Linked DNA regions of Ovis aries. The protein of the gene in region 1 purifies or fractionates together with the protein of each later gene. This does not show direct contact. Links are inferred from orthologs where the notes say so. Each region holds a gene or a part of one and is shown on either strand. Other genes may lie near its edges.

Region 1 (4,272 bases):
TTTCATTATTCAGAAGATAGAAATCTTCAAAACCCTGCCAACAATTTCTAGTCCAATTTTCTACACAAAAATGAAAAAGCTAACTTCCCCCCCACAACACTAAACAGAATTTAAAAATGAACAGAAGACTAAATTAGATAATCAAAATATAAACCGTGTAATTAATGAAAACAATTCACTAGTGCAACAAATTCTTGAACACAGAAAAAAAACCAGCAAGCATTCTAATCAATTACATGGTTCATTTTTTGGGGGGGGGGAGGCATATTTTAATCTCAACTTTCAGCACAGTAAATTATATAGCTGATTTCATGGACTGTTTACATTTTATAACATTACATTAGCAACTCAAACATTACCCTTTCTAAACCAAATATGCAATCCTAATCAAAGTTTTCTTTTTTCCCCAGAAAAAGGAAAGGACATCTTTTTAAGATATATTCATAGCAATAGAAACATCTTAGTATTTCAAAATATTTACAAAGAACCCTGCTGATCCTGTGCATTTCGCTGAGGGGCTACCTGTACCCAGACTTCATCATCAGAAAAAGAACTTGAACTTCCTGACTCAGAGTCCAGTTCACTGAACCCATCTAAGTCCCATTCAGTACTAGACTCACTCCGTGCATCATCTTCCTCAGTGATGAAACTCTGACCAGGTTCAAGGCAGGAAGGATAAACCCGAGCACAGAGACAAATAAAGCCAGAGTCAAACTGCAGAAGACCTAACATGGTCCCTATATTAATCCACTGGTCTTCCCTTGTATCATATTCATACACAGTTACCCGGTTTTTTTTCCACTGAGGGGTTGTAGAAGTGATGAGGAGCAACTTTTGGCCATGATTGACAATCTGGTAGTTGTGGGTCTCCGAGTCCAGGGGAATATTGCTAATACGCCTCCATTCTCCCCGGGCTGGGTTATACACCTTCATGACTGGGATGTCACAGATGCAGTAGATCTCATCATTGAAGACACAGGCTTCCTGAAAGTCACTCCGTTTAAGAGAAGCACAGTTCAGCCACATATTATGGCTAGGATCATAGCAGAGCATGCGCTTACTATTCACAGCATAAAGATAGTTCTGAACCACTATGAGTTCAAAGGAATAGAAGGAATGTGGTACAGGAGCCACTAAGGCCCACTGGTTCCTCTGAACACTGTAGCACTCCACTTCCTTTAACTTCACTCCAGTAATGGGGTCACGCCCACCCAGGATGTAGATGTAGCCATTGAGGTATGCCACGTCCATGCCCTCCCGGCAGAGCAGGCGGTCGGCAAGTTGCTGCCAACTATTCTGGGCTGGTTTATACACCCAGAGATCCTTCCTGGGCTGGGCAGCTAGATAGATGTCATGGTCTGGAGAGACACAGACAGCTGAAGAGGTGACAGTCTTAGTGTGAGCCAAACTGGTCAAAGGTGATGGCATTGTGTAAATGTCCCCCGAGTATGGATCATAGCACAGAAAGGGATCTCTGGGATGGCCAAAGAAGATGACCATCTCCTTGGCACACATACCCAGCCTCTGGGGTGGATTTTCTGCTATGGACACAACAGAGCTACTGCTGCTGCTCTCTGGCTTGGGCACCAGGGACTTGCACAACATGTCACCATATCGCATCTGCAGGGCCCCTTCAACAAGGTCCAGACAGTACTTCTTTACAATGGGCTTGGTCAGCAGCTCTTCCACGTAGCCCCGATCTTCGTCAGTGAAGTGGGTCCAGCGGACACACTTGAAGACTTCTGCAGCGCTGGGACCCCGCTCCTTGGGAGCCGCCTCCAACCACTGCACCGCCACGTGACACACGGTCCGCTCACTCTCGATGTCTAGACTGTCCAGGCGCAGGACAGCTAGCAGCTGGGCCAGGGTCAGATCTGCCAGCGACTCTTCCCGAATCGAACCCATTCGGCTGAGCTGCTTGAAGTTGTGGGCTATAAAGGACTGGGCCTGTGATCGCAGCTTGTGATGGTCGAAGGCGTCGGCGAACTTGAGGATGGCCGTGCAGTTGGCCAGGTCAAGGCGGCGGGCTAGGAAGGAGGCACAGGCTTCCCGCACGTACTCCAGCTGCAGCATGTCGGAGGCCGCGTAAAGGCGCTGCACGTTGGCCTCACTTAATGACACGCGACCGGTGTAGCAGTAATCGACCAGCACCTCGAAGGACTCGGCGTCCACGTCGTGCATGGTCACGTTCGTCTGATGGCTCTCGTACATGCCGCCGGTGAACATGCTCTTGAAGTAGGGACACGCGGCCGCCAGCACGTTACGGTTGCAGGAAAAAAGGCGGCCCGTGCCAGGCCCGCTGCCGGGGGTGACCACCTCGATGGTCACATCACAGAGCAGCCGCGCGTCGTAGAAAGACTTGAGCTGGGCCAGCAGGGCTGCAGAATGGCCCGTGTCCTTCAGCTCCTCCGGGCCCGTGAAAAAAGCCGAAACTGAGGGCTTGGAAATCCTCTTGGGACGCCTCCCGCCGCGGGGACTGGCGAGGCGGCGAGAGCGCGGAGCTTCTTCCCGGGACTGCATGGTGAAGAGGGCGGCGGGGAGAGAAGGACGAGAACCGGGCTCTGGCGCCTCCTCGCTCTCTTTTCGCTGACGCCGAGACCGCTGTGTCCCTGAAAAGACTGCCGCGCTGACTTAAGTCAGCCCCGCTCCGCGGTGCCGCCTCCCTTTATCGCGTAGACAGTGCCTGACTCACCCGGTTCCAGTTCCACGCCCTTTCTCCGCCTCAGCTCGCCCTCACAGGACCTACAAACTGGAACCAAGCGGTCCGCCACCGCCGCGCTGGCAATACCGGTAGGTGCCTAGGAGAACTACAGCTCCCAGGTTGCCTTTCGCGCCTCGAGGCATGCCGGGACCCCGCGGACTCTGCGGCTTAGGCCGCCTCACAGGAGCCGCTGTGCATGTTGGGATCAGTAGTTCCAGTAATATCGCGAGGCTTCTGGGGGTCTACTGCTTTAACTAACAGAATCAGCAAGCGTTTATTCCAGATTTGATGGTTTAGAGCTGTGGGTTTGAAGTCTAGAGTGGAAGTCCCGTTTTAATATTCACCAGTTGTGTAAATTTTTTGTCAGAACTTTTCCCTGTCTGGAAATTGGGCATAATAGTATTTCATAGGATTCTGGGAGAATGGAATGATCTAAATTTCATAGGACATAGGATGCTTCAATAAATACTTGTTGATTAGATTAATAATTGTTTACACTGTGACTAAAATGCAAATATTGAGTAACTGTTGGCTTTTCATTTAGAATTTATGAAAAATGAGGCATCCACTTATTCGAAACCATGAGCAATTTCTACAAAGAAAACTGTGTTTACTGTTGCTTCTTGTAAGGCTCGGAGAACCGCGCTCTGAAAGGAACATTCAGGGACAGCCTCTAGTGGACTGACAAAGTTGATTATCCAGCTGCGCAGTTTTATAATTCTCAGGGAATAGAGCATAAGGCAGACTTGCACGTAGCCATTCCAGATAAACATTAAAGCATTCAAGCATAAAATACAGTTCCCACCACCTAAGACATAACGTGACTTTGGCAAAACTCTAAAGGGAGTCTTATCGTGAAACAACAGTCCTTGCTCCCAGGAAACAGGTGGTCATAAGGAAGCCTTTGAACGCTTCAAGGCCGGGCGTACTGACCCTTCGTCATCCGTTTCCAGCCTCAGGCACTCGATGCACGCTCATAACCCTCCGTTATGCTCGTTCCAGCTCCCAACCTTCGTCATAAGTGGAGCAAATACATTTTCCATGTCTGCTCAAAGCCTTCCAGCTCCTCCTTATCTCCTCCCTTTTTCCTTAAGAGCAAGGACTGCTGCAGCCACAGTTACTCCTGTTTTTTGGACGGAGGTGACTCGGGCACATAACGTTCGGAATCCTACAAGAACAATAACAAACAATAAACAGATCAGCGCATAAGTAGCCATCGTATGGGGTACCCAATTTTTTGGATTTAGAAAGGAGGTACTAGTGGATAGTGCATTATAGAAGTCAGTGTTCTATAACACAGGGGGAATGCTGCTGAAGGTAGATGTGATTTGTTGCTTCAATTTTTCTATATCTAGACTGTTTGATTTTGAACCTAAAAGATGTAACTTTATTTGTTCCCAAGGATATTCAGTGGCATTGTAGGGCATATTGGGCAAACAGAAAGTAGTGAAATTCCAGTGACACCGCAATTCAATTGTACCTGTAAAGCATGCAGATCATCCCCCGCATACATAAGGGCGGCTTGTAAGTCATCTAAGCGTGTTTGAATTTGCTGATCTATCTGAGCTTGC
Region 2 (4,158 bases), on another chromosome or scaffold:
GTGTGGGGATGATCCCTGGGTGGGGAAGATCGCCTGGAAGAGGGCATGGCAACCCACTCCAGTTTTCTTTCCTGGAAAATCCCATCGACAGAGGAGCCTGGTGGGTTGCAAACAGTCCATGAGGTTGCAAAGAGTCAGATACAACTGATATGATATGATGATGGTATGATATACATATCTTTTGTGAAGGGGCCCAGAGTCAGCAACAGAGGCATCAGTGGTTTCGTGGATAAGGGTCTGAAGCAAAAGGGTTCTGGAGAGGCACTGCACGGTGGCAGGCAGGACAAGGCAACCTGTCTTCACTGGGTGTGGGGGAAATGACCCCAGGTTGCCCGGAAACCAGGGAAGGAGGATGCCCCTCACCACCCCTTTAATAAATTATCCTAGTAGAGATGTTTTGAGCTATAGATTAGGAAAATCACTAGCTGGGACTGGGGGCAAGTACATAGGCATTTACTCGTTAGGTTCTATGACTAGGAGGGATGATGTGAGGGTGGTGCAGGTGAAGCGGGGACTGTTCTAGCAGTGAGTGTACAAAGAGCAAGGAACAGCCATCCAGCATTACCAGATCACACAACTGCCCGGGTTCAGTTCCTGACGGTTGCCTATGCCTTGAGGATACACTAGCTTCCAGGTACACTTTGTTACCTCTACTCCAGCCTCACACTTCAACGTATGGTCAGTTTTTCAGAAACACACCTCAAGTCTGACTCTACAAAGTCGAGGTGGTTTCCAGACAGGACCAACCATTTTTGGCGCCAGCCTGATCTGCATCCATCCCTTCCACAGGGGATACTTTTGAGGCCCAGCGCTAAAGCCATTTCCTCCTCAGGCTCCCTTCCTGGAGCTTGTCTTCAGCTTGCTGGGCTCCTGAAACACCACCTCGCAGCTGTCCCAGTTAGTCCATTCTACCTGGGGTATTGGTTATGTATGTTCCTGCCTACGTTCCCCCGCCAGACTCTCCTCCTTGCGCCCCAGACAGGAGTTCACCAATCTAGATGCCTGGATCCAAGCCCAGGGAGGCTCCCCAAAGGAAGGATCTTGCCAACTACAAGCTAAAACCCGCCCAGACGTTCTCTTCCCAGAGATTCGGCTCTGCAGCTTTCAGGGGCCACAGTGGGCGAGGCCGTTTTCCGGATGGAGAGGAACGAACCTACGGCGCAGCTGTGAGCTCCGGATCCCAGCACTACTACGCCGACGGAGTCTGCGTCGAGGCTCTACGAAGCGACTGCCCACAGCCCAGCTGGAAGCCCCTAGTGGCGGGCCGGAACGGCGCTTCCGCCGGAACCTTTGAGAAGCCGGGCGCTTTTGGGAGAAGCACGCAGAAACCGGAAGTCCGTGGGGGAATACTGGCCCGTAGGAACCTAGAGCTTTAGCGTGGAGGATGAACGTCCCTAGTCTCCTCTTGGCGGGAGGTAGGGTGCCTGAAATACTGGATGAATCTGCCGTATGCTTTTAGTGCCTGGCGTGTTTACCCTCTCAGGTCCCGTGTCCAGGTCTCCCTCTTGGAGACCCTGCCGGGGAGACTGGGCGGTTCTGGTCGCCTCTGAGCTATTGGGATTCCTTTCCCTGGGTTAAGGGTCCACGAGGGACTCCTCGGACTGAGCTGAGGGCAGAGGGCAGAAGGTTCAGTGTCTGACAGCTGCTTGCTTACTTCTGGATGCGTTATTGTCCTGTGGCCGCAATGTAAAACTTTCCCCTGGTTTTACAGAGTTGCTCTTTGTATGGGTTTTCTTCTTTGTAGACTTATGGTAGAAATCGTGAAAAGAGTACAAAAGAAAATAAAAACCGCTCTTAAATTTACCACTCAGCTAAAACATTTCTTGTAAACGGGTAAAATTTAGTTTTGTTTTATCCGCTCTGTGCAGCTTTCGGGATCTTAGTTCCCTGCCTGGCGATTGAATCCCCCGCTCTGGCAGTGACAGCGCCAACCACTCCAGCGTCAGGGAATTCTCTAAAATGTAGTTTTATTTGGTTCCACTGGATGAGAAAGAAACTAGTGAAGATAAATATTGTTTAAAATATCAGTTAATTGCAAAAATATTTCTCTAAGGTTAAAATTTTTAAAAACGTTAAAAAGTTGGAAATAATCGTTTTAAATACATGCTTCTTGTTGGACGTAAGATTTATATGTAGTAAAATTTAAGTTTGTTACCCACAAAAATCAGACTATATCTCTTATGGATAGTTCTTAAATGATGGGAAAGTCCGTATCACTTTGCAATCGCCCTCGTTAGGCCACAACACTAAGAGGAACTAACGTCTAACTTAAATTTTGCTAAAATTTTCTTTTAGGGAGATGGAGATGTTTTCCACTTCCATTAGGGTCCTCCTTATTCCAGGCCCTACATAATTCCTGCTGTCGGAAAGAATCCACTGCACCAGAGAAAATCATTCCCCATGTTGATTTTTCTGATGAGACTGCAAAGGAGTCTGGAAAGACATTTGACAAGCTCTTTTCTTCAGAACAGCAGGCTTCCATCTTGCATGTGTTGAATACAGCATCTAATAAAGAACTTGAAGCTTTCAAATTGCTTCGTGGAAAAAAGTCCCTCAATATTATAGAACACAGAAAAAAGTTTGGACCATTTCAGAATTTGGAGAGTTTAATGAATGTGCCCTTGTTCCACTATAAAATCACCATTCAAGTTTGTAACTCCATTCTTAATCCAGAGACTGGAGGGAAAAAAAAGAAGCTACAGGAAAGTCGGATCTTGAGAAAGCTCATCAAACCAGAAATAGGAAGAGAGAGAGTTAAGGTACACTCTTAATGTCTCTTTTACTGTCTAAATATTTGACACCCTACAAAGTACTATTCTGGGCACCAAGACAGGATTCTTCTGGCAATTATAGTTTAGTCCTGTGGACCCAGGGATACACACATAATCTATTTATAGTTATTCTCAAAGACATGAGATGTACAGATAGTAAATTGGCAATTTAGTGGAGAGAACTGTGTGTTGGGGAATGTTTACTAGAACTCAGCCTGGATCCTGGAGAGAGAGCTAGGCTAGTAGAAGAGGAAGGCATTTTAGGAAGGATAATTGATGTAGAGAGGTAGGTCTGTGCAGGACTTACGTAGAAGGAATGTTGAGTTACCTGTTTTTGTTTCTTCCTTTATTCCACATATCAGTTATACTCCTATTGCTTTTAATCTGTTTGTGCTTCTCACTGTGACTAAGATTCTTTGCGGTGTAACAGGTACCTGATGCAGATCTTTCTCCCTAGTCTAGCCATCGCCCATCCACTTATACACAGCTGTCCGTGTTCCTTATGAAATGTAAATGTTACACCTGAATGTTGTATGCTTTGGTGGCTCCCAGTAGCTCTCAGGATAAAGGAAGTTACTTTCTGCAGAAATCTGCCCACCCCTCTGCCCTTTCGCCACTTGCATTCTTTATGCCACTGTCTTGAGAGGTGTCACCCTATATCTGCAGACATCTGGGTGAAATAACTTCCCATTTACCGTTTTACTGTCTCCTAGTCCTCCAGTAAGTCTTCCTGACCATTTCTCCTCTCTACAGTGTAACTTGTATGGTGGTGTTTCTTATAATGTAGGGTCATGTCCCTTGTTTCCCAGTATCTAGCACATTCCCCAGCAACATCCGAATATCTGAACACCTGCTTTGAGCTAGGTGCTGAGAACAAGTAAAAGTTCTGCCTATAAACTGACTACTGCTGGTTACTTTTTAATAATAACTACTTTAATAATTCTTAGTTCATAAACTGTACATATTATTTCTATCACATAAACTAATTTGGATTTCTGAGTTTGTATCTTAAATCTTGTGTCTGTTAAAATGTTCACACTTATAATTAAACCAGGCTTTTTTGTTTCAGGCAGTTAATAGTATAGTATCCATTGTTTCTGGTACTCGAAGACTTGCCTGGGCTCACCTCGATCGTAAATTGGCAGTGCTGGACTGGCAGCAAACCGAATATTGCCAATTGATGAAAGGATCATACCTATCATCTGTCTATTTAGAAGAGGTAAGGCAGTTGCACCTCCAAATCCTGACCTGCTGGAGCTCCTCATCTTTTAGTCCTAAAAGGGATGAAATAGTTAAGGATGGATTTTCTTTGGGTACTTACTATTCACCTGTTCCTATTGTGTTTTCCATCGCTTATGTTTTTTTAATTAAAATGCTGTGCTGGGTC
Region 3 (3,500 bases), on another chromosome or scaffold:
GAGGTACAGAGAAGTTGACTGATTTGCTAAAGGTCATACAACTGATGAGCAGGTGGGCTGGATTTGAGGTCCAGGTAGTCTGGCTCTAGAATCTGAGTTCTCCTGCCTCATAGGGTTGTAGTAAGAATTAAATCAAATGATGCATATTAAAAACCAAGTATAGTCCCTGCAATATAACACTCATACATAGTATCTGTTACTATTGATGTTATTGCCATCAAAGGTGTGTTTCAGGAAGATCGTTTTAGTCACAGTGAGGAGGGCATAGATTGGAGCAGGGTTAGAGGCCGATTTGGAGGCCCTGGCTTTAGGCAAATCCATGGAGTAAGACCATGTTGTTTTTTAAGTTGCCTGAGGACACCCTGAGAGTAGGGGGAAAGCAGATCTCTATATTTGAATCTTTTCCTTCTTGTCTTGATGGATTCCCTGTAAATCAAGGGGATCTTAACCTCTGGAAAGTTCAAAAATGTATTCACAGAGTCCAGGAACCTCCTGAAATTGAAAAGTTGTTTTACTTTCTTTTTAAAATTTTAATTGCAGGATATTTGCTTTACAGTGTTGTGTTGGTTGCTGCCATACAACAATGTGAATCAGCCATAAGAATACTGTGCCTTTTTTTTGAAAAGAGATATTGTAACTTTTAACTGATTCTCAAAACTATGAACTGCCCCCCGCAAAAAAAAAGGTTGAGTAATGCTTCTTAAAGAAAGGAACTTAAAAAAAATAAATTAATAAAAGGAAGGAACTTGGTAAGAATGGGTTTTTGTGAGCCAGTACAGCTATGATAGCAATTGTTTATTTTTCTCTGATTTGTCTTTCTCCTTTGTCAGCTACAAGGCACACAGTTTCACAGACAATTCAAGTGTGAAAGGATGGTAGCTCTTGTAGCTGATCCTCAGTAGTACTATGTCTTGTGTCTTATCCCATCTTTCTCCCACAGCCTTCCTGTCAGGACAGCAAGGACCAAGTTTTCTGTCTCCTTGAGACTGTCCCCAAAGGCTGTCCTTGCTGAGCTGTGTCTCAGGCTGAGTGACTGCCCTGCAGTTGCCCGTATGACAGCTGCGAGTGAGGTGTCCTTCTGTGACTATCATGTTGTTGGCATCCCCCTCTGCCCTAATGATTGCTGCCTCTATCTGTGTGTCATTAGCTCTCACTTGGACTCTCCTAACAGCCTTCTCACTGGTGTCTCTGTTTCTAATTTGTTCTTTCTAGCCTACCTAGCTTTCTAAAACTCTCACTAGCTAATCATGTGATTTTCTTTACAAATTTTTGGTAACTGCCTACAGGTTATAGTCCAAACTTAATATCTGTTACAACCTTGGCCTCTATCTGCTTTGCAACTTCAATCTGGTCCTCTCACTTCATGGCAAGTAGATGGGGAAACAGTGGAAACAGTGATGGACTTTATTTTCTTGGGCTCCAAAATCACCACAGATGGTGATTGCAGCCATGAAGTTAAAAGATGCTTACTCCTTGGAAGGAAAGGTATGACCAACCTAGATAGCATATTCAAAAGCAGAGATATTACTTTCCCAACAAAGGTACGTCTAGTCAAGGCTATGGTTTTTCCAGTGGTCATGTATGAATTTGAGAGTTGGACCATAAAGAAGGCTGAGGGCCAAAGAATTGATGCTTTTGAACTGTGGTGTTGGAGAAGACTCTTGAGAGTCCCTTGGACTGCAAGGAGATCCAACCAGTCCATCCTAAAGGAGATCAGTCCTGGGTGTTCATTGGAAGGACTGATGCTAAAGCTGAAACTCCAGTACTTTGGCCACCTCATGCGAAGAGTTGACTCATTGGAAAAGACTCTGATGCTGGGAGGGATTGGGGGCAGGAGGAAAAGGGGACAGAGAATGAGATGGCTGGATGGCATCACTGACTCGATGGACATGAGTTTGAGTGAACTCCGGGAGTTGGTGATGGACAGGGAGGCCTGGCGTGCTGCGATTCTTGGGGTTGCAAAGAATTGGACACGACTGAGCGACTGAACTGAACTGAACTTCAATCTCATGTACCATCTCATCCTCTGTCGTCCCCTTCTCCTCCTGCCCTCAATCTTTCCCAGCATCAGGGTCTTTTCCAATGAGTCAGTTCTTTGCATCAGGTGGCCAAAATATTGCAGTTTCAGCTTCAACATCAGTCCTTCCAATGAACACCCAGGACTGATCTCCTTTAGGATGGACTGGTTGGAAATCCTTGTATTTCTGACACACCAGATTTCTCACTGTGTCTGAAAGAAGCTATGTGTTTGGTTCTGTGCCTTTGGTGTTTTTGTTTTCTTCTGCTCAGAATGCGCCTCTTCCCCACCCTGCTCCCTTTTTTTAACCTAATGAAAGTCCATTCCTTCCTCCAAACCTAAGTCAGATAATTTTAACTCTGACAGTCACAATGGATGGCATCCTTTTCTGAACCCAGAAAGAACTTGGTATCTCAATATGTAACCTAATAAAACTGAGTTCCTACCACACGCCATTCACTGTTTCAGGTGTTGGAGATGTTATAATGAACAAAGCAAGACAAAGTCTCTACCTTCACTCTAATAGGGAGAGAGAGAAGGAGAAAAATAGACACACACACACACATACCCTTATACTTACAAAGTGAATAATAAATACTTTAAAGATAGATGGGAGTAGGGGGCTGCTATTTTCAGATAGAGTGGTCAGGGCATACCAGTGCCTCTTTGGTGAGGTAACTTTCACGGAGGACCTGAAAGAAGTGAGGAAGCAAATGAGGAAGCAAATATATTTGGAGGAAGTATGCTGCATGCAGAAAGCAGAACAACTACAAAACAGGAGTATGCGTGGCTTAATTAAGGGATAGCAAGATGAGTAGTGCGGCTGGAATCCAGTGAGTTGATTTCTGTTTTAAAAGGCTGCTCTGGCTGCTGTGTGGATGAATGAGTGAGTGAGTGCATAACTGAGGGTGGGTCGGAGAAATGAGTTTTTTTGGACTTGAGACCTTGACTTCCGGTGGGTCTCCTGACTTGGCCTTTCACTTTAAGGTGGTCTCTTCTCTTCTAGGCTTGGCAGCCTGGGTCTCATGGACTACTACCTGATGGATGCCGCGTCCTTGCTGCCTGTCCTGGCCCTTGGCCTACAGCCTGGGGACACTGTGCTTGACCTGTGTGCAGCCCCTGGGGGAAAGACATTAGCGTTGCTTCAGACGGGCTGTTGCCGTAAGTCAGAGGGCTGTGTCTTGAGCAGGGAGGGCTCCCTCCCCCTCCCTCCCCCTCCCTCCCCCTCCCTCCCCCTCCCTCCCCCTCCCTCCCCCTCCCTCCCCCTCCCTCCCCCTCCCTCCCCCAGTCAGGGGCTCACTGAAGATGCTGAGCTCTTTGGTCCAGGTCAGGTAGGGTAGTACTTGCTAAGCTGGTGTGTTTGTTCTGTTCGAAGTGACTTCCTCTCTTTCTCTGTCAGGTGGCCAAGGAAGACTGCAGAGCAAGAGCAAGGTCTTTGAAAGCAGATTAAAGCAAAGCCCTGATTAGTCTACCACATGACACT
Region 4 (3,500 bases), on another chromosome or scaffold:
CTGGTATGAGCTGGCACTCGAATGGGGCTCTTATTGGTAGCACTTGGTAAGCAGTGTTTCCTAGGCTCATGTGGTACCCTGAGGTTCACTCAGGTACACTTTGTCTTCCAGGATCCTGGCTAGAGCCAAAGAGGATCTAGAATGTCACTGCAAAGCTTCAGAGAACCTCGTGGTCAAGGTCTGCCCTTCATCTGCTCTGGAAATGAAATCTGAACTACCACCATGAGGCCACAGGCCAGGAAGGGCTCTGCTGCCTGCTGCCTTGGGAATTCTGCTTTTCTCCCCATCTCCTTTGAGGTTAGATGCTCTTCTTACCAGATCCCCTAGGAATTCATGATAAGAAAAGCAAGTTTACAGAAGCAGAAATTCCAGTGAAGACAATTCCCGAGCATTATATATTTTTATAGTCACAATGTACTCAGCATGCTTGAAGTGAACACTCAAGTCAACAGAAAACACATGGTATGTTTTTCATAAAATGTCAAAGCAGGACTTGCTTATCAGTTGTTTTTAAACCAACAGATTATACAAACACATATACAGTAGCTTTAAAAGTATCAATATTTGGTTAACCAGGTGTTCCCCTTCCTGAACAATTTTAGACGTAAGTGACACAGAGTGGCAGCAACTTGTTATTTTTCACTGGGAAAAAGAACGGACTCTGACCCTCCTCCTCTGTGCTAAGAACTCTGCTGAATTCTTGTATCATCTGTTCTAACTTTCCCAGGATCCCTGCGAGGCAGGTATGCTTATCCACATTGAACAGATACAGAAACCTGAGTCTCAGAGCTGGAGCCAAGGCCACAAACTAATATGAAGCTGGGACAGGATTCAAATCAGACGATCTGATGGCAACATTCACCTCTGCTCAGTTACAGCGCATGGCCTGCAGAGTGATAACCACGCAGGAGAATGGGCCAAAAACCACCAGAAAGATCTTCCCCCTAGGCCTTCAGTGAAAGTCTCAACTGTCCTGTGAATCAAACTAATAAAAATCTTTGTGAGGGTTCTGAACGCTGTAAGTTCCCATAAGGATGGGTTTTGGGTTCCAGGACTGAGGAGACAGGGTCCACTGGAACGAAACGGAGACCTGATGCTCAGCAGCAACAAGCCTGCAGCTGGTCTGTTTTCACCAGCGGGACCACTTCTTCATCCTTTACGTAAGACCCTCCAGGAAACCCTACTCTTTCCCAGTAACACCTACAAACAGGGCTGGGATCTCATACCTTCAGAATCTGGTCCCCTTCTTGAAGACCTTCTTGCTCCGCGGAGGTACCCTCTTGAATGCCGGCCACAAATAGCCCAACGTCATTGCCACCAGCCAGCCGGAGGCCCACACTGTCTCCCTTCTTGAACCTCACCATTTTGGTGTTGGGGCTGCAATGGGTTCAGTTTCAGTAAAGAAAGATGGGAGGTTTTCTTATTTTTTTTCGGTAAAGGAGAATCAACATTAGCAGTGAGAGATTTAATTTCTTCTATCTATAGAGTGATTTACCCTTTATAAACTCTTTCTTATATAATCTATAATTTTATCTTCCTTGGGGCTGTGAGATGAATATCAGGAGGCCACTTTACCAGTGAAGAACAGAAATAGAGAGAATGTCTAAGTAAACTCATTTAAGACAAAAAGCAAATAATGGGCAGGGTTGGGGTAAAAATTCAAGGCCATCTGATTCCTACTTCAGGATTCTTCCTAAGAAAATCCTGCTGATCCCACAGGGCTCCTGTCAAATGGAGACAGCCTAAGTCCAGGGGGGCAGGTTCCTAACCCATGGAATACCACGGAACCAGGGGTTCTCTGTCAAGTGCAGAGCCCTGCATCACTTCCCCCCTCCCTCCACACACCAGGGCCTCCTGTCACTACAGCCCCTACAGAGGCACCAGAGTTAAGCAGTTCTTCACCCATCTGGGCATTCTTGATCTGGCAAACTCAACTATTCAGAATAACATCGGAACACTAGCCAGCTAAGCAGACAAGCAGGCAAAGTGAACACTCACTTACTTCCCCATTTTACTCTTCCTACGAATGATTTCTCTTTCTTAAAAATACTAGCAATAGAGATGGGTTAAAGGCAGCTGATTATATACAAAATCATCACCATTTAATGGTGTTTAAGAACACCATTTTTCCAGATTTAAGTTAAGTGACAGAGCTGTGTGGAGGAAGAAAGGGGAACAGGAAGAGATGCCTACCCATATATTGCTAAATCTTCAGGACTTGGATGAAGAACAGCTCTTGGGGCTGGTTTTGGTGGAGGAACTGTGGATTAAAAAACATCACTAGTTATAAAATAAAAAAAAAATCATTAGCAACCAAGACAAACAGGTTTTGTCTCTAAATATGAAGATCACAAAATCCACAAAAAATTCAAGTCTGTTCCTTATGCTACATATACGTCATCACATCAAATGAAAAATGTCTTAAAAGTTAAATTTTGAAGCACTAGCAGATGTCAGTAGTTTCTCAAAAACAAGTGAGAAGGAAAATGAAACTTAAAAATGCAAGGTGCATAATCACATTTACAAAATGGTAGCATTTTAAAATAATTTAAAAGTCATGTAGCAATGCTGCTTTTTCCATGGGTAAATATTTATGCATTTAAATTATGATACTAATTTTATTGTGGTGGGGGGTAGGGGATGCAGTTGAGATCAGAAATGGGACACAGGGGCTTCCCTGGTGGCTCAGTGGTGAAGAATCCATCTCCCAATTCAGGAGACACAGGCTCCATCCCTGATCCGGGAAGATCCCACATGCCACGGCTCAGCTGAGCTCACGTGCCACAAGTACTGGGCCTGCGCTCTAGAGCCTGGGAGCCACAACCACCAAGTCAATGTGCCTTAGAGTCTGTGCTCTGCCGTAAGGGAAGCTACTTCAATGAGAAGCCGTGCACTGCAGCAAGAGACAAGCCCTCACAGCAACGAAGCCATGCACTACCACAAGAGGAAAGCCCCAGCACAGCCAAAAATAAATACATAAAATTATTTCTGAAATAAAGAAATGGGACATAAGAGGACTTTAATCAAATCTGACAAAATGCGACTGTGTGACGTAATTAACAAGTATGTATCTGGTCTCTGTGCCACCCCCAGGTCCTGACACAGAGATCCTAAAACCCCTACAGTTTCTGGAGTGAAAGGGGTACCAAGAGCATCTTTTGCTCTAATATTTGGTCTTTAACCCTAATTTCTGACACAGAGCTCCAACATCCTTTGGAATTTTCTGGGTGATAGGAGAATCCTTTGCTCTAAAGAGATGACTCCTAGTAGGCTTCTGGACAGCCTCAATCTGGGGCTGGTAACCAAGAGGAGGAAGTCATGCTCATGACAAAGCCTCCCAAAACTAGGGGATTCAGAACACTGCAGGATGGATGAAATCACTGAGGTGCTGGCAGGATGACCTGCCCAGTGAGGGCATGAAACCTCTCCACCCTCTCCCCATACCTTGCCCTAGGCATCTCTTCCATCTGGCTGTATCCTTTATTTCTAAAAAAATGATT
Region 5 (4,101 bases), on another chromosome or scaffold:
TAGTTAAAACCCCCAAATATTATAAGAGATAAGCACTAAGTCTCTCAAGTTGGGCCAAAGTGGAGCGTCCAGAGCCACGAGGGCTGCCTGGGCAGCCCCAGGAGCAACTCCAGGAAACCCCAGGCTGATTCCGTTGTCCTGCCAAGGGAGGATGTCAAGGGAGGAAATCGCAGAGCGCTTTCTCTGCTGAGGAAAGAAACCTGACTTACAGACGGCCGTCTGAGCTCATTGCTGAGGCCAGGCATCAGCAGCAGAGGCCAAGGACGCCCACCACGTCTGCCTACGCGCTTCTGCGCTGTGGTCGCAGGTGACCTTCACCTTCCTTCCCCCTTCCTACCTCCCTCTTTCATTCTGAACATGCCAGTGTTTGGTTTGTGTCATTCCTACTAAACCAGCACGCAGAAGCACCTGCTTTCTCAAAGCAGCCTGGCTGCCCCGTGTGCCCTGAAGAGGGCGGCCGGCCTGCGTCTCAACCACAGTGGTCGGAAGGCCCCGAGACAATGCGGAGGCCCCACCTGTGCCCGCAGCGTTGACTCTCTGCACGGCCACCTGGCTCCACGCGCCAGGAGCAGCCCCACAGTCTAACACCCGGAGGCCGGGCCGTAGGATCTGGTGCCTCTCATTCATTTCCAGGAGCTTGAAGGCACTTCGACATCGGTAACTTTCCACCTTCGCAGCCTTCACAAACGGGTCCCTCAAATGCCGCGTCAGCCACAGGTGCTCAGCGCCAGTCCGGCTCTTGTAGCGACTCCCAGCGGCGGGGAACCTTTGACGCTGAAGGGAAGCCCACACCAGTTTCAAGGACCTGGTGAGGAAAAGGGAGCAAGCAGGTTGGCATCACATAGGCCAGTGGGGCCCCAGGCTCAACCCGCACATTTTTAGAGCTGGGTCACTACGGCCCAAGCAGGAGAGGCGACTTGACAAGGCTACCGCCGCAAAGGTGTTACGGGCTGAACCACATCCCCCGAGTCTGCAGGTGTGCTCAGTCATCCGACTCCGAGACCCCGTGGACCACAGCCCGCCAGGCTCCTCTGTCCACGGAATTCTCCAGGCAGGAACACTGGAGTGGGTTGCCATTTCCTTCTCCAGGGGCTCTTCCCAACCCAGAGATCCAACCCTGTCTCATATCTCCAGCATTGGCAGGTGGACTCTGTACCACCAGCACCACATAGGAAGCCCAAAGTCTACATGGTAAACTCCTAACCCCCAGTACCTCAAGATGTGACTGGTCTTTAATGAGGTAATTAAGGTAAAGTCCTGTGTGTGTGTGCTAAGACACCTTAGTCGTGTCTAACTCTCTGCAGCCCTGTGGACTGTAGCCTGTCAGGCTCTTCTGTCCATGGGAATCTCCAGGCAGGAGTCCTGGAGTGTGTTGCCATTTCCTTCTCCAGGGGATCTTCCCGACCCAGGGATTGGACTCTCATTTCTTATGTCTCCTGCACTGGCAGGCAGGTTCTTTAACCACTACCTTAAAGGGTAAATGGGTGGGCTCTATCCAATACTGGTGTCCTTATAAGAAGCAATCAAGACGCAGACACACACAGGACAAAGACCACGGGAAGACACAGGGAGAAGACGGCCGTCTGTAAGTCAAGGAGAGGCTTCAGAGACTAATCCTGCTGACAACTTGATTTCCATTTTCCAGACTGCAGACACTGAGCCAGTAAATGTCTGCTCTCTCAGCCGCCCATCCTGGGGTGCTTGGTTACAGGAGCCTGAGCAAACTAATCCAGCAGGCCTCTCCTCTGTGGTCAGAGATGCTTTTCTCTCCTGAAGTTTTCTTCAGAAGACAATCTCAGAGAGTAATGCTAGTTGCTTTGTGTCAACCAAAGTTTTCCCAATACTGGTTGAAAATATTGATAACCTTCATGAAAGGAACATTCCTTCTCACAGGATACAAATTTTCATTGGGCTCTAAGAAATTTAAACACACACACACACGCGAGGACAGGTCCTTTGCCTTACTTACCTCCACCGCTTTGGCAGGCAGCACAGGCTCTGACCAACCTGTCACATTTCTTGATAAAATTGAACTTACCCCGTGTATTAAATTAGAAGGGCCGTTTTCAAGCCTCTTTGGAAAGTGGGGCTTTTATAGACTGCCATGGGTTATCTATGGGTTATCTCTTTAACTCTCAGAACAACCCTACAAAGTATCTACATTCTTTTCTTCTGACAAAAAGAAAACAAAAAACTATTATTAGTCCCATGGCTCCCAGGCAAAAACATGTTGACAAAGATCTGGAGACAATACTCTTGAACTGCTGCCTTCAAAAGGCGAAAGGCGTCTCTAGAAAGAGGGCGCAGCGGTCCCGGGCGCCGAGGACTGCAGCGGGCAGCGGGCCCGGGTCCAGCCGATGCGGGCAGCTGACCGCCGGGGCCCCCACGACCAGCGGCCGGCCACACGGGGCTCTGGCTTGCGAGACACAGGCTTCAGGCCTGCGGTGCTCCGCGGGCGACACGCACCTCCAGCAGCAGCGCGCCCCCTCTCCCCACCGGCCTCGGCAGCCCTCCGCCCGCCGCCGCTCCTCGGAGCCTTGGCCGGTCCGCTCTCGGCAGGCCTCCGCTCGTCACGTCGCGGGGGCCGCCCGCCCCCTTTCCGGGCCAGGACCAGCCCCTTTCGGACCCGAAAACCGGGGCCGCCGTCTGGCCACTCCGCCTCCCGCACACATGCAGCAGGTGCTCCAGCAATCCCCACTGAGCGCCAGCCGCCGCGCGCACCGCCCTCCCACCTCAGCCGCCTCCCCGCTCACCCCGCCATGGACACGGAACCGCTCCGCCAGCCGCCACCGGAAGCGCTGGCCTCACTTCCGGCCCGAGGCCACGCCCCCGGAAGCGGCGCGTGGGTTCGAAAGGCGCGCGCAGGGCTGGGGCCTGGGTGAGTCCAGGGGCGAGGTCACGGGTGAGTCCGGGGGCGAGGTCACTGGGGAGCAGGGGATGCGGCCGCCGGAGATGGGCCTGGGTCCCGCCGAAAGGCAGCTGGCGGCCGTTCACGGACGGCCAGATACGGGAGCCCGAGCCTGGCGCCCGACGGGTGTAGTCTCTTTAAACCCTGGTCACGGGCCGCAGTGGACCGGTGATCCCGTTCAGAGGGCACTCTGCTGAGAAAGGGGGCCGCCCGGCCCCTGACGTCAAGTGGGCTCTCTGCGGACCCGCCTGACCGTAGTGCCAAGAGCTGTGGCCAACTGTACTTCAACAGCAGGCGGACCCAGGGTTCGGTACTGGCTCTGGAGTTTGACTTTCTGTCAGACTTCGCTTTTCTGAGCGTCTGTCTGCTTGGCCGAAAGCGGAGAAGCCAAGTCTCAGCTCACAGGGTCGTTGGGTCTGTTAACTGGGATACGTTTTGGAAAGTATATGATCGGTGCCTAATAACTGACGGCAGAGATTCCTAATTAATTTAGGAAGTCAGGGCTTTGCGCCTTTACAGGTCAGCAACATCACAAAGTCCGCATGTTAAACAGAGGTTGGACCCAGAGACCCACTTATGCAGGAGCTGCTGGCCAGCACAGGGACCCAGGCCTCGGTCCCTATTCTCGGACACCGTGACTTCCCTGGAGCATCCTTGGTCCCGAATCCTGCATCTCATTCAGTGTGGGCCCCAGACCGGGATGAGGATGGATGGACAGGGAGCAAGGTCCTGGGCCTCCATCATGTCTCCAGCAGTGACCAGACGTCCCCTGCAGGGCCTTCACACACATGCATTCGGGCAGGAGTGGTGTTACAGGCCGAGCACCAGGTCCCGGAGCAGCAATGTTTGTGAGCAGAATGTGAACACCTGTCCCAGCAGGAGAGCTGGCCAGGCCTCGCTGGGGGCTCTCCAGTGTCAGAGCCGTACATTTCCTGGGAATCTGGGGGTCTGGAACCCAGTAGCTAGAAGGCCCCATAATGAAAAGGCCAAGAGCAAAAGCCAGACGCAAGAACCGTTGGGTAAAAGCGTGGTTCATTTCATGCCAGGTGGGCTCAGAGGTGGACACAGGAGCAAGAACAGCCCTGCGCTAAGGAGAGAGGCAGGGACAACCTGGCCATTGCCTGACCTGCATCGGCCCAGCAAGCAAAGGGTCCAGGGCTGCCACCGCTGGGCCGTGGGCCAGGTCTCCATCT
Region 6 (3,500 bases), on another chromosome or scaffold:
AATGCACCGTAAACGTTGTCTGGCTGGAGGTCTTGAAATCTGTTTTGCTGTGCTGCAAACGTAGAGGTGTGTGTGTTTCACTAGAAGCCTGTAGCCAAGAGCCACATTCGCCGACTGGATGCTCTGACGGGGTGACAGGTTATGGAGCCCTGCAGTGATGTGTGGTGTACATCACAGACTGTGGGATAAACCTCTGTGCGTCCGTAGAGGTACAGGGCTGAACAGCCAAGCAGACTAGGGGCAGGGGTAGTGTTTGTGTGACCGGCTTCATCCCCTGTGTCAATAAGAGGAAGACTTCCGATACAGTGCGGACATCCACCATAACAAATGCTAGCGCCAGCTAAATTCAACTGTGTGTATAATGTCCTCTGAATTCCCAGCTGTCTCAAGAAGGACTAATGTGAAAGATGTTATATGCTCTTACATTTTATAGATCATGAACAGATGGGGGGAAAGTGTGCCAATTGGTAAAGAAATTCATATGCAGAATAACACACCTCAAAATGGTGTTTCGAAGGTTTTTCTTTTTTAAAATTATTAAATTTATCTTGGATAAAATTTAATTACTCCTTGGGGGTTTCCTGTAATATTATATGCGTAATTCATTTGAGTTTATGCCCTCTACAGATATGAATGTTTGGAAGTACAGGTAACCTTGTAATGAATAAAACTGATAAAAGGTTGTGTTCCAATAAAAGGGAAATTATGGAATGATTATTCACTTTGTGAAAGGCTCTGTCATAGGGCACACTTTCCTAAAGCATTTTAAATTGGATTACATTTAGGAAACATTCGTTTATACACAACATTTCAGGAACAAATGTAGTGAGGAAATGAGAGAACTACTCATAATAAGATAGAGATCCCTTCCGCTGCTGACGTTTGTGCTTCCTGTCTTCTCTGCCTCCCCTCGCAGCTCTGATAGCCATCGGGCGATACAGCATGACAATAGAGACTGTGGACGTCGGCTGGTGCAAAGAGATCACGGACCAAGGGGCCACCCTGATTGCACAGAGCAGCAAGTCTTTAAGATACTTGGGGCTGATGAGATGTGATAAAGTGAGTTGCCTGTCGACCTTCTTTCCTACGTATCCGTGTCGTTTACAGCTTGATATTAGATTTTTCTTCACTACCTGGGTATATATATGTACACATGCACGTACTTATGTTATTACAGGTATGCATGGGAAGCTGCCTGGTTTTCTAAACTAATCTGAGATGATTTTTGAATATCTCTGTTTAAAAATGAATGTTTGTGCTTATGCAGAAAGAAAACAGCAGTCACACACACACTTAACTTAGATTTTGGCTTCCTGTCCGCAAGTCCACGGACCACGATTAAGTGTGTTTGCGTGGCACACTGCAGTGCGTGTGGCTTAACAGTGAAATTCCACTCAGGTTCCAAGTTTCCTGCAGCAGTAAGTTGGAAGGCCCGCTGCCAGATGATGCTGCCGCAGTCTGAAGTGCTCACTGCTCAGCGTCTTTGTGTTCTGCCCCTCAGGGGGGCAAGAAAGGGCCAGTGAGGCAACATTAGTTGGGAATCCCCACACTGCAGATGCTGCTTTTCACACATGTCGAGAAGCGGTCCCAGAGGCCCCACCGATGGTCAGTGGAGCTGGCCAGAGGCATGAGCCTGAGTTTGAGAAGTCGGGCTGCGTTTAATAAAGATGATCAGAAGCTGCACTGATAACCAGGCATTGGAGACGCACTTTCCCCTTTGTCTCTTTTACGTTTTCCTGGTAACAAATCTAGGAGATGGTCTGTGCTGCGAAGGGGAGAAAACGGAGCTCAGAAGGACCAGACACTGGCCCCATGCCCCCCATCCAGGGTGGCACCCCAGATCTTCAAGCCTATGGCCAGTGCCCAGGGCCCACCGCAGGGACTGTCTCCAGAGAAGGGGGTGCTTCCTTGGAAAAGACCCACCTCAGCTACTCGCTCTGAAAATGTTGGCAGCTTGTAACAATTTATACACGTGTGCTGCTTTTTGTGATTGGTGATTAGGCACAATGTAGCAAAAGAGCCTGAAGCTAAATATATATGCCTCTCAAAGGACATGCAGTTTCTAAATGTAGCAAATTGGGGACAAATAAGAATGGCCCAAATTCTCTGTGCGCTTTGTCAGTTTTGTTAATTGACCTAGTTCTTTTTTCCAGATGTTTTACAATCCCAGCTTATACCAGACCTTTCCAGTTAGTCATGATTAGAGAGACTTTATATACTCAGCCCAGCCTAGAAAGCTGACTGAGTTTATTACTGAGCAACAGCGGAGAGCCCGGGGTGGCAAGTCTCTCTTAAATTTCACCACTAACTAACTTAACACTGCTACTAACCCTGTCACTTCGAAATGATTCCTTTTAAAACAAGTGAGAGTCCATAGCAGGCAGAGTGTTCTAGAAACCCCGAACAGTGACAGCAGAACTCTTCGGCTTCTGCCCGAAGGAATCGCTGCGCACAAACTGCCTGCGCAAGGGCAGGAAGAGGTGAGCATTCACAGCCGGGCCCCTGCGCCCACAGCCATTCACAGCCGGGTCCCTGCGCCCACAGACATTCCCAGCCGGGCCCCTGCACCCACAGACATTCCCAGCCGGGCCCCTGCGCCCACAGCCATTCACAGCCGGGTCCCTGCGCCCACAGCCATTCACAGCCGGGCCCCTGCGCCCACAGCCATTCCCAGCCGGGCCCCTGCGCCCACAGCCATTCACAGCCGGGCCCCTGCGCCCACAGCCATTCCCAGCCGGGCCCCTGCGCCCACAGCCATTCACAGCCGGGTCCCTGCGCCCACAGCCATTCACAGCCGGGTCCCTGCGCCCACAGCCATTCCCAGCCGGGCCCCTGCGCCCACAGCCATTCCCAGCCGGGCCCCTGCGCCCACAGCCATTCACAGCCGGGTCCCTGCGCCCACAGCCATTCACAGCCGGGTCCCTGCACCCACAGACATTCCCAGCCGGGCCCCTGCGCCCACAGCCATTCCCAGCCGGGCCCCTGCGCCCACAGCCATTCCCAGCCGGGCCCCTGCGCCCACAGCCATTCACAGCCGGGTCCCTGCGCCCACAGCCATTCACAGCCGGGTCCCTGCGCCCACAGCCATTCCCAGCCGGGCCCCTGCGCCCACAGCCATTCACAGCCGGGTCCCTGCGCCCACAGCCATTCCCAGCCGGGCCCCTGCGCCCACAGCCATTCCCAGCCGGGCCCCTGCGCCCACAGCCATTCACAGCCGGGCCCCTGCGCCCACAGCCATTCACAGCCGGGTCCCTGCGCCCACAGCCATTCCCAGCCGGGCCCCTGCGCCCACAGCCATTCACAGCCGGGCCCCTGCGCCCACAGCCATTCACAGCCGGGTCCCTGCGCCCACAGCCATTCACAGCTGGGTCCCTGCGCCCACAGCCTCTGGCGGAGGCCACCGTGTTTCTAGTCCAGACTCTAGACCTGTTGAGATCAGCACCCTCTTTGGAGCTGAATTTGGTACTCCAGTTAGTTAAGAAGATCCTTTCAGATGTATT
Region 7 (3,500 bases), on another chromosome or scaffold:
GAACTTTTCATCCCTGCCACCTAGACAGTTCTTACTAATATAAAGAATGGGTTTATATTCTTTCAGGTGTGTGTGTGCGCTTAAAGCAGAAACGAACAAAACAACAAAAAAAGGAAATGGGAATCTCATCCCATATAGGTATAGCTTGGAAACTTGGTTTTTTCACTTAAAGCTGTTCTTGGCTGTCTTTCTCTGTCAGTACTTTCCCATCTCTTGTCATACAGATTTCCCTCATTCCCTTTAATAGCTGTGTCCTGTTCCACTGAATACCATGGTTTGTTTAACAGATGGCCTACTAATGCACATTCGGATTAAGATCTTTCCTTAGTCTAAACTAGGGGTTGGTGGTTTTTGTTAATCGAGTTTTACTGGGACACAGCCACACCCTTTTGTTTACAGATTATCTACCACTGCTTTCTCTCTACTGCAGCTGAGTTTAGTTATGACAGTATGTGCCTTGCGAAGCCAAAAATATTTACATTTAAAGGAAAGTTTGCCAGCCCCACGTCTAAACAATGTTGCAATGAATCTCTCTTTTTTTACATATGTTTTCATTCATATATGCAAGTATTTCTGAGGGATCAATATCTAGTAGAGGAATAGCTGGATCAAAGGTACAGATCTTGCCAAATTATCCTTCTAAGGGGTATTACTGTTTTATATTTCTACCTATAGGATATGAGACTGTTTATTTATTTCCCCACGCACACACTTGACAGCATTGGGCGTTATAATTCTTTTTTAATTGTGCTCATCTAAGAGCATGATGCTTCCCAGGTGGTGCTAGTGGTAAAGAACCCACCTGCCGATGCAGGAGACGTAAGAGATGCAGGTTTGATCCCTGGGTTGGGATGATCCTCTGGAGGAGGGCATGGCAACCCACTCCAGTATTCTTGCTTGGAGAATCCCATGGACAGTGGAGCCTGACAGGCTACAGTCCATAGGGTTGCAAAGAATCAGACATGCATCTAAGAGGAGGGAAATATACTGTTTTTCTATTTGAATTCATATTTCTTTAACTATGGGCTTCCCTGGTGGCTAAGATGGTAAAGAATCTGCCTGCAACGCAGAAGACCTGGGTTTGATCCCTGGAGAAGGACATGGCAATCCACTCCAGTGTTCTTGCCTGGAGAATCCCATGGACAGAGGAGCCTGGCAGGTTACAGTCCGTGGGGTCGCAAAGAGTCAGATACAACTGAGCAACTAATACTTTCACTTTTCTTTAACTATTAATGTGATAGAGTATCTTTGCATATCTTATTTCTATTTTATAAGTTATCTTCTTAGTTTCATTTCTCTAACTGATTCTTTTCCTTATGATTCATAAAAGCTTTTTTTTTTGGCCGTGCTGCACAGCCTGTGGGATCTTAGTTTTCCAACCAGGGATTGAACCAGGGGCGGGCAGTGAAAGCACCACATCCCAACCACTGGACTGCTGGGGAATTCCCATATGAGAGCCAATTTTATACAAGTGTGTGTTATAGTAGAAGCACAGCTCTCCTTTCTGCCTCAGAATATATACTTATAGGTAGAAATATTGTATCTGGCAGCAGTAAGGTATGGATGAAGAGGACCGGAGTGATGCATCCTAATATTTTCTATCTATATCCCTGGTTTGTTCATTTTTCTTTCTCACAGCTAAAGCGATATATTTATTGATGTAACACACATTCAGTTGAGCCTCCAGCATATGCCAGACACATGGGAAATTCATATTGAAAAAATAATTCCTGCCCTCCAGGAGAGGATAGTTCAGTGTGGGGCTCAGACAAGCAGTCAGCAGTAATTGTTCAGAAAGTAGACTGTCACATGGGAGTCATGCCCATGATTGTAGGCCCTTACAGGAGGACACGTTCACCTCTCTGAGGGGCTCAGCGAGCAGTTTGAGAAAATTTAAAGAGCCAGGAGGAATTTTCCAAAGGACGGCATTCAGCAGGAGGAACGGCACATGTCAAGGGGAGTATCCCACCCGTGGAACTCAGCACTCCTGGAGCCTCGGGCTTGGGTCGGCGAGGTGGATGTGGGACCTGGCCAGCCTTTGGATTACCATGTACGTGAGTGAGTGAAGTCGCTCAGTCGTGTCTGACTCTTTGCGACCCCATGGACTGTAGCCTAACCAGTTCCTCTGTCCATGAGATTTTCCAGGCAAGAGTACTGGAGTGGGTTGCCATTTCCTTCTCCAGGAGATCTTCCCAACCCAGGGATTGAACCCAGGTCTCCTGCTTTGTAGGCAGACAGACGCTTTACCATCTGAGCTACCAGGGAAGATCACTTGAGTTTACCCAAGGATATTTTCACTGAATGTTCCCACCCCCTTCTCCCTGTCGGATGTGCATCTGATTCCAGTACTGCCTGAGACACCTTAGTCAAATAACCATCCTTCTTTTGCACCGTGAGATGGTTCAGGTTAACCACCCTGTCCTCACAGCCGTTCTGTGCATTACTGCTGCCATCTGCTCCACTCACAGAGGTTAGACAGCTTGTTCAAAGGCACATAGCAATGAATGCAGAGCACGCATTTTTGTGTGAGCAGGTACATCCCTGTATTTCTTCCAGTCACATTACCAGAATGCTCCTCCGTGCCTGGCACTTGCCCCGAGGAGCTCTCAGGATGGGAGGAGACCAACCTATGAACAGGTACAGGCCAAGGCATATGCCATGGGGCCTGGGCCCTTGGATGGGGCTGGTGTCTCAGCCACGGCTTACGTGGGTACCAGGCACCCCGCCTTCCTCACCCTTGTGCTTACCACTGTCTGCACCCTCTGGCTGGAGAGTGAGGAAGTCAGGAAGCCTTCTCTCCCCAGCAAAGGACTCTGTTGTGCAGGTCTGATGGAATTGGTATATGATCAGCCAGGCTGTCCTGGTTTGTTGGGAGGATGTTTTTTCCCCCATGCCTGGGAGCCTGGCAGCGCCACCTGGAGTGGGCATTCCCTCCCTAACAGCATCTCTGCTGTCCTTACAGGCCTTCCTCGAACGGTACCTCAGCGCCGGCCCCACACTGCAGTACGACCGGGAGCGCTGGCTCTCCACGCAGTGGCGGCTCGTCAGCGACGAGGCTGTGACCAACGGGCTGCGGGATGGACTCGTTTTTGTCCTTAAATGCTTGGACTTCAGCCTCGTTGTCAATGTGAAGAAAATTCCGTTCATCATGCTCTCGGAAGAGTTCATAGACCCCAAATCTCACAAATTTGTCCTTCGCTTGCAGTCTGAGACGTCAGTTTAAAAGTTCTATATTTGTGGTTTTATTAAAAAAAGAAAGAATATATAGAGAGATATATATGTATACCAGAGGGGCATCTTTGTTTTTATTATTCTTCATGGCTGACTGAGCTGGCACATGAGAAACCAGGGTCCTTTGACCATCTGCACTTTATTTGGAAGGAAGCAGAAGATGGCCATCCTGGAAGAAAGTGACTGGTGACATCTGACTTGGGGATGGGCCATCTCCAGAAGCAGTTCCCTGGCGTTTTCTGTGACAGCTGCAAACCAAAGCAGAGCTG

What was found.
Region 2: the proteins of KBTBD7 (region 1) and TEFM purify together in Homo sapiens (co-immunoprecipitation; 5 studies listed by BioGRID and IntAct, counting the BioPlex papers as one, with this or other methods). This does not show direct contact. The link is inferred for Ovis aries from reciprocal best matches to the Homo sapiens genes KBTBD7 and TEFM.
Region 3: the proteins of KBTBD7 (region 1) and NSUN4 purify together in Homo sapiens (co-immunoprecipitation; 5 studies listed by BioGRID and IntAct, counting the BioPlex papers as one, with this or other methods). This does not show direct contact. The link is inferred for Ovis aries from reciprocal best matches to the Homo sapiens genes KBTBD7 and NSUN4.
Region 4: the proteins of KBTBD7 (region 1) and TJP2 purify together in Homo sapiens (co-immunoprecipitation; 4 studies listed by BioGRID and IntAct, with this or other methods). This does not show direct contact. The link is inferred for Ovis aries from reciprocal best matches to the Homo sapiens genes KBTBD7 and TJP2.
Region 5: the proteins of KBTBD7 (region 1) and MRM2 purify together in Homo sapiens (co-immunoprecipitation; 3 studies listed by BioGRID and IntAct, counting the BioPlex papers as one, with this or other methods). This does not show direct contact. The link is inferred for Ovis aries from reciprocal best matches to the Homo sapiens genes KBTBD7 and MRM2.
Region 6: the proteins of KBTBD7 (region 1) and FBXL17 purify together in Homo sapiens (co-immunoprecipitation; 3 studies listed by BioGRID and IntAct, counting the BioPlex papers as one, with this or other methods). This does not show direct contact. The link is inferred for Ovis aries from reciprocal best matches to the Homo sapiens genes KBTBD7 and FBXL17.
Region 7: the proteins of KBTBD7 (region 1) and VANGL1 purify together in Homo sapiens (co-immunoprecipitation; 4 studies listed by BioGRID and IntAct, with this or other methods). This does not show direct contact. The link is inferred for Ovis aries from reciprocal best matches to the Homo sapiens genes KBTBD7 and VANGL1.

The regions. Positions count from the first base shown.
Region 1 is NC_056063.1:11,789,708-11,793,979, forward strand, and holds the start of KBTBD7 (kelch repeat and BTB domain-containing protein 7), read right to left. Parts: upstream 2,801-4,272; 5' UTR 2,521-2,800; coding exon 478-2,520; 3' UTR 1-477. UniProt on the Homo sapiens protein: As part of the CUL3(KBTBD6/7) E3 ubiquitin ligase complex functions as a substrate adapter for the RAC1 guanine exchange factor (GEF) TIAM1, mediating its 'Lys-48' ubiquitination and proteasomal degradation.
Region 2 is NC_056064.1:17,804,389-17,808,546, forward strand, and holds the start of TEFM (transcription elongation factor, mitochondrial), read left to right. Parts: upstream 1-1,358; 5' UTR 1,359-1,384; coding exon 1,385-1,415; intron 1,416-2,295; coding exon 2,296-2,759; intron 2,760-3,840; coding exon 3,841-3,990; intron 3,991-4,158. UniProt on the Homo sapiens protein: Transcription elongation factor which increases mitochondrial RNA polymerase processivity. Regulates transcription of the mitochondrial genome, including genes important for the oxidative phosphorylation machinery.
Region 3 is NC_056054.1:20,917,419-20,920,918, forward strand, and holds part of NSUN4 (5-methylcytosine rRNA methyltransferase NSUN4), read left to right. Parts: intron 1-3,023; coding exon 3,024-3,178; intron 3,179-3,500. UniProt on the Homo sapiens protein: Mitochondrial RNA cytosine C(5)-methyltransferase that methylates cytosine to 5-methylcytosine (m5C) in various RNAs, such as rRNAs, mRNAs and some long non-coding RNAs (lncRNAs).
Region 4 is NC_056055.1:67,439,196-67,442,695, forward strand, and holds part of TJP2 (tight junction protein ZO-2), read right to left. Parts: intron 2,261-3,500; coding exon 2,194-2,260; intron 1,378-2,193; coding exon 1,227-1,377; intron 1-1,226. UniProt on the Homo sapiens protein: Plays a role in tight junctions and adherens junctions. Acts as a positive regulator of RANKL-induced osteoclast differentiation, potentially via mediating downstream transcriptional activity.
Region 5 is NC_056077.1:41,355,697-41,359,797, reverse strand, and holds the start of MRM2 (rRNA methyltransferase 2, mitochondrial), read right to left. Parts: upstream 2,801-4,101; 5' UTR 2,762-2,800; coding exon 2,754-2,761; intron 2,555-2,753; exon of another isoform or gene 1,970-2,554; intron 806-1,969; coding exon 516-805; exon of another isoform or gene 1-515. UniProt on the Homo sapiens protein: S-adenosyl-L-methionine-dependent 2'-O-ribose methyltransferase that catalyzes the formation of 2'-O-methyluridine at position 1369 (Um1369) in the 16S mitochondrial large subunit ribosomal RNA (mtLSU rRNA), a universally conserved modification in the peptidyl transferase domain of the mtLSU rRNA.
Region 6 is NC_056058.1:104,498,182-104,501,681, reverse strand, and holds part of FBXL17 (F-box/LRR-repeat protein 17), read left to right. Parts: intron 1-916; coding exon 917-1,059; intron 1,060-3,500. UniProt on the Homo sapiens protein: Substrate-recognition component of the SCF(FBXL17) E3 ubiquitin ligase complex, a key component of a quality control pathway required to ensure functional dimerization of BTB domain-containing proteins (dimerization quality control, DQC).
Region 7 is NC_056054.1:93,020,666-93,024,165, forward strand, and holds part of VANGL1 (vang-like protein 1), read left to right. Parts: intron 1-2,962; coding exon 2,963-3,223; 3' UTR 3,224-3,500.